2 linked regions of the Bombyx mori genome follow. The protein of the gene in region 1 purifies or fractionates together with the protein of each later gene. This does not show direct contact. Links are inferred from orthologs where the notes say so. Each region holds a gene or a part of one and is shown on either strand. Other genes may lie near its edges. The genes, in order: 14 kDa subunit splicing factor 3b and Phf5a.

Region 1 (3,128 bases):
TATTCACTGAGAAGATCAGGCGAAAAACTCGATGGGCTGTCTTTTGGTTAGTTCACTCGTTGTAATCGACGACTTGGACGAGGACGGTGACCGGTGCTTCAAGTGCCTAAAAGCACCGAAAGTAGATCCGAAGGATCCGACAAGAAATGTTTCGGACGACGACGGATTTGCTTTGCTCCGTCGACCTGGGTCGGTACATATGTAATGCGCGGCGACCACGATAATAGGGTTATTGTATCGTGCCGCTTTGTCGAAGTAGCATTCTGACGCTGCTTTACTACTTACGTACCGATTCTAAATTTAGATCGTCGTGAAGGTCGAGATTCCTCACGTACCATGACGCTGCGATAGCTATCCTGCAGTAATGGGATTGGATGACCTGGAGGGTTTATATACAAGCAAGCCGCGTGATGTAAGTCGCATAGTGTATCCTTGTTACGATAGGACAATTTACTTCGTTACAGATCATGGGGTAGAATCGACCGTGTAAGAACGCAGCCTAGTCGCGTATTGACTTAATGTAGAGACTGAATATCATCCCTCTGAGGATGATGCCTAGTGTAAGGAAGAACGTGACTCTCGCGCAGAAAGGACAGGTTGAGACCAAGTACCAGTACCTGGTCTTTCAACCTGTCCAACCAATAATACGCAAGTTAATAAATTCTACAGGATTTACTTCGATTAGAATTAAAAGCTAAATCAAAAAATTATGGTTTTTATCATGGAAGACATTACGAAAGCGCGTTGGTACATTATTATTTAATGATAAGATTTTTATAGGTTCTCTGGCTTAAAATCTACACAGCTATACAAATCAAATAATTAAAAACAATTGTACTTAAAAAAAACTTATATTTTATAGTTTATCATTTACGCAGATCTTCACTAGATATTCCATATTTCTTTTTCAATGTATCAATTTCTTCTTGTTTCTTATCAATATCAATACCTTTAAAGGCTTTGTTGGATCTATAGTAGAGTACAACCAGATACCTGTTACAAACATTAAAACCAGATAGATGGTCACAGGCATTTTTTGCATCAAATATATCTTCATAAACAACAAATGCTGTGCCTCTTGTTTCTGGAGTGTTCCCTCTGAAATTGAAAATCAAATGATTGCTTTAAAAATATTTTTCTTATTAGGTTAATATAAAGTAAATCAAATGTCAATTTTATGACCAAATGCTCAAATTTGACACACATACACCAAATAAGGTAGTAGAAAGTACCACAAGTACTACACCAAACAAGTAGAAAGAAATCATATCATTAATTAACATAATCACACTTCATTACTATGACTTACTTATTCTTAATTTAAATAGCCAGACAAATTTTACTATGATATTTTTGGTCATTTAATAGAAATTATTGATAAAAGAGTTCCAGTCTTTCACAACTAAATATTTTAAATCTCATTATCTATTGCTTAGATTTTAAAATGAGCTCAGAATCCACCTGGTGGAAAATGGTTAACACAGCCCAAAGTCAACAATCTGAATGCTGCTACACACCAGACATAAGCTTGAAAAGTTAGTTGTTAAAACTAGCAATTTTACCATTCAAAGTACAATCTGTTCAGAAAAATATGCAGGATGCTTTCTGCCTGTTAAGGCTTACAATTCCACCAGTAATTATGAATATTTATAAATTTTGCAGGTTTCCTTTTTATATAAAATGTTATTCTTTCATCATTGAATTTATTTCATTAACAAGTATGAAATATGTATTTCCTTACAAAAAGTAGTAAGTGTCTGCAGTATTCAAAGACCAATTTGAATGTTTCACTTGATAGAAGGTACATCATGTGCTTTATCAATAGAGAGGGTTCAATAATAGTGTATTTCATAAAATGAGTTTTCATAGCTTTACAAGTTTACAACTAAAAAAATTCTAGCAATTTGTCTAAGTATAATTACATAGAGCCTATGCTCACAAGCAAATTTCACAATTCACTATTAACATACTGTGATAAAAGAAAATAAAATAAATATGCTTTATTGCTGTGAGCTCTCACAAGTAGAAACTACCAATGGTATCTGAATCTAAACATCAGATAATTATACATTCTGATTTTATACAATAGAATTGAGTATTCGACTCGACAAACTTCGACTACGACAAATGGGGGAATTTTCTTTAGTGCTATCAACGTAAATCTATTGTGTGTTGTGTTATGCATCTGTATGGTTATATACGACTATTTCCTGTCCATTTCTGCATCAAATCACTCATAAAATATGTTTTGAAAAGTATCACAGGAGATTACTCCAGTTCTACAGGGACTTTGACCTAAGACCTACGGTGTTAAAGGAATGCCCTGTGAGTAGAGGAGCTTCATTAACCGCTTGATATCCTGTCGTCAGTGGACTTATTTAGAGAGAGAGAGAGAGAGAATACACTTTATTGCACACCAACACAATTTACATTTTAAAAAAACAAACAGTCAAAAAGCACATATGTACAATAGGCGGTCTTATCGCTAAAAGCGATCTCTTCCAGACAACCGTTTAATTTACAGAAATTCTGTAAAATATAAAAAATATAGCAGGTGCGGTGTACCATATACAATACATTATTATAGAAAATATATACATATAATAAACAGATATATACCGTTTACATAATATAATATATACCAATATACATACTTACATACAATACATACTAATATATTTACACACACTTATTAAATCAACAGTATGGAAATTATAAATGATAATGATGCAACAAACAGCACTAAGCAGTTATGTAGTGTTCCTTCACCATTCTTTTAAAACAGTTTAAAGTTGGAGCACTTCTCACTGCATCCGGCAGAGCATTCCACAATCGAACCGCCTGGACGGTGAATGAATTGTCAAAGAATGATGATGAATGCACCGGCATTTTCAGTCTCAGGTTATCTGATGATCTCAGAGAAAAATTATGCGTATCACCTAGGAACTCGAAACGTTCTTTGAGATATGTAGGGGTATGGGGGTTAAAGAGAGTACAGTATAGTAATGAAAGGACATGAGTATTGCGGCGAAGGCGAATTGGTAACCACTTGAGCTTAGTGCGAAATTCAGATATATGATCATATTTCCGTAACCCAAATATGAATCTTATGCAGAAATTTTGTAGCC
Region 2 (3,669 bases), on another chromosome or scaffold:
TCTACAACGTAAGTGCCACCACCCACCTTGAGGTATGAGTTCTAAGTCTCCGTTTTTACAGTATATAGAGAGAGGGGTGAAAACTATTTGGTTTAACCGAAATTAATTTTCGTAATTAAAGGTTCATTTAATTTATTATTAGTACCAACAATTCGATGTTTTTAGTTAAACTTCAATTAAGTTTACCCCATTCAAATAGTTGAAGAAGTTTTTTGTTATTATATTTTTTCCAAATGTTACTTTAGTTTAAATGGCTCTCCTGTAGTTGCAAAAATGTCGCTTAAACCAAATAGCCCCCTTCACCCCTCGATATAATAGTTTTCTCATTCAATACCATAACTTTAAAATATTTGCTTGACCACCTAATTCATTGTGTAATTATATAGTGTTACTGACTAGTACTATATAATACTACTAGCTGGCAAATGTTGTTTTACCATATAAATTATTTCTAGGAAAGATAAATAACCTAGATACCGACTGCAGCGCCCTCTGCTGGGTTGATTTGTGAATCTAAACCATCCAGGGTGCCACCCAAATGCATACAAACACAATCATTCAAATCAGCACAGCCGTTAAGGAGGAGTTCAGTGACACACACACGCACATAAGAAATATATATATATAAAGATATAATATAGTCCAGGTATGTGTAATTCCCGGATAGTCAAAAGATATTTGATTAGAAATTACTTAGTTATGTTTGGTTGTTTCCCAGACCCATGACGAAGGAGAAAATGGTAGTGTAGGGCCATTAAATGTGTAATACCAATGCATTTATTAATAATTACATAATGTCTTAATGTAAGTACACACTAGAAACATAGTTTTCAAAATATGACAGACAACATTCACACAGTACAATCACTCTCATTACATACATGAATATTGCTAACATATTGTCTGTAGTTTTACAGAGCACATGGTAGTCAAAAATATCTTTATTGACAATTTAGTAGAAAAATAAAAAATAAAAATGAATCTTAATAATTTAAATGCAAAAACTAAATGTATTTTTCAAGTATTTTCTTTCTAGTTGGAAAATGAAAACTAATCTGCATTGAATAAACAAAGGATAAAAAAAATTGTAAAAAAATAACAGATATCATCGATAACAACAATCCAATTGTATAAATGAATGAATTTAAAAAAATATATGTGAATTTCTCTTGGACCCGAGCTGCAACTCTTTAGACATTGAAAACCATACTTGATCATAATAGCCGTTGGCTTTAAAAAGTCAACAACAAAGTAGTTGATAAAAACAAACTTGTATTTCAATCAAACTTTAGTTGAGAAAAACCTCTGTTTTTATTATTTTAAATAACAGAAACTTTGCAGAAATTAATATTTAAAAACTAAAAAGAAACCTAATGCTAGTGTCTCCTAAACCCATATTTCTTTCTCTCGTAGAACAGATCTGTTTTAGAGCTTCCCAAATTGACAATCTTTGGACAGCCATCTCTCTGTGAAAAATAACAATTTTATTAGCATAATAATATGTATTATTATTATTATTATTATTGTTATCAGCGCACAGACGTCCACTGCCATCGTCCATCGGTCCATCTTGTGGGAGGCCTACCCACGCTACGTCTTCCGATACGCGGTCGCCACTCAAGAACTTTCTGGCCCCAATGGCCATCTGTTCTACGAGCAATGTGTCCTGCCCAATGCCACTTCAATGCCACAATCCTTTTGGCTATACATTTTATTAGGCTTGGCTTAATGTACATGATATTGGGGACGCACACAATCATTATCAGGTCACTTGATCAAGTCAGGTTGACTAGTTTCTTGTGAGTTTTTAAACTATCAAAATATAACGATGTTTTTTGATTTGAGGAAATTTAAATTAATGATTTCGATGCGATTATTTGAGTTCAAAAATTACAAAATTAAAACTTACATCCTTCTCCTGTATCGTGCACTCCTTACAATAATAAGCATCAGATACTCCAGGCCCGCCGCAAATCACACATCGCCCCTGATACGAGCCATAGTTGCACTCGTCACAAATACGAACCAACGTGCACGGACGCACATAAGAATCGCAAATCACACATTTTCCGTCACATTTCTCACATAAACGTCCAATAGCTGGAAAAATAAGAAATAGCATTAAAACAAGCGACACTAAACTTGGTTGTCTTCCATTTTTTAATACTACTAACCGACTCCGGGCTGTTTCCTGCAGAAAATTAAATCTGGATGATGCTTTGCCATGTTTTTAGTTAGGTCTGGTCTGCTGGCGAATGTTCTTTGATTGTTATTATCAAACTTGCCGTTTACTGTTTTTTTATCGAATAACCTACAAAGATTTTGACGATTTTGACCCGGTAATTTTGACAAGTGGCACCATAGATATATTTTTTTGTTACAATTTTTCCTTATTAGGAAAGGCAAAGGGATCTAAGCCCATACCGCCTCATTTGTTCTATATAATTTCTGATATAAATTTATAATAAAGCCAAAGCCAGGTCTTATAGGATTTAAATTATATGAGTCGACTATTATCAAAGCCGGCAATCTGACTTTTGGACAATGATTGGTAAATCAGAAAAAACGAATTATTGACTTTGTATTCCATTGGCAGTCACAAAACTCTTCGGAACGACATCTTAGATAAATAACAGGTTAACTATTAACCTTTATTTAATGCAGGTTTTGAACCGTATTCTTTGAAGGAGACGATTATATTCAAAACAATCTGTATTGACATATCAATAATTTTTTTTTGTCCAAATGCACAGATTGCCACCTTTGATAATAGACGACTCATATCCTGAAATAAAAATTTCATTAAGGCCGAAGCCATGTCCTATAATTTGGCACCATAGATAAGTAGTAGTAGTAGTTTCATTTTTCCAAATGGAAAGGCAAAGGTATCATAGCATACAGCCTAACCTTTTATATATTTTTTTTTATTTTATGAAATATGATACTATGAAATGAAGTGTATTAATTTATGAAACATGGCATAAAATGAAATGAGATGAGATGATATAATATGGGGTATTTTTATGGAAAACGATAATATGAAATGAAATGAAGATGATTAATTTGAGACAACAATCAACTGGGATGAAATTAAATGAAATGAGATGAGATGATATGGGATGAAATATAATCTCAGTAAAATGGTGGTCATTTACTGAGATTTTTTCAGTGGACTTTTTGGAGGATCCCGAGAAGTTACGTCCAGTGGCTTTGTTTCATTTTCCCACATTTGTGCACTGTCACAGATATTAAACAGTTAATAAACCACCGTTATTACACATTTAAACCTGAAGAAACACTAAATAGACAAAATAAAACAAATCACACAACTTCACTCCTCGCGTTCCCACCAAAAAGTCTAATTGCCGGTTTGCGATCGGTCTTAATTGTCAAGTATACTTTTGACAGTTTTACTTCTTTGGTGACACATACGTCACATATTATATGTGATAGATTCAGAAATCAGAAATCAGAAATCAGCATACCCCTAATTCAAACACATGCTTTCAATATTCGCGTCTTTTTTGTATTCCCCAAAACAATGATAATTTAGAGAAAATGACTGCAGACAAGGAAAGCTATGGAGACGAAACCAACCAGGATAGTGAGGTGGAACAAACTCCAACCGAAAATGTCAACGAAGATACTGAAGATGATAAAATAACATTT

What was found.
Region 2: the proteins of 14 kDa subunit splicing factor 3b (region 1) and Phf5a purify together in Homo sapiens (affinity purification with mass spectrometry; 4 studies listed by BioGRID and IntAct, with this or other methods). This does not show direct contact. The link is inferred for Bombyx mori from reciprocal best matches to the Homo sapiens genes SF3B6 and PHF5A.

Annotation. Positions count from the first base shown.
Region 1 is NC_085111.1:9,664,713-9,667,840, forward strand, and holds the end of 14 kDa subunit splicing factor 3b, read right to left. Parts: intron 1,099-3,128; coding exon 867-1,098; 3' UTR 658-866; downstream 1-657.
Region 2 is NC_085114.1:14,383,580-14,387,248, forward strand, and holds Phf5a (PHD-finger 5A), read right to left. Parts: upstream 2,282-3,669; 5' UTR 2,227-2,281; coding exon 2,175-2,226; intron 2,101-2,174; coding exon 1,910-2,100; intron 1,467-1,909; coding exon 1,377-1,466; 3' UTR 760-1,376; downstream 1-759. Other genes in the region: ATP-dependent RNA helicase DDX47, read left to right, coding at 3,559-3,669.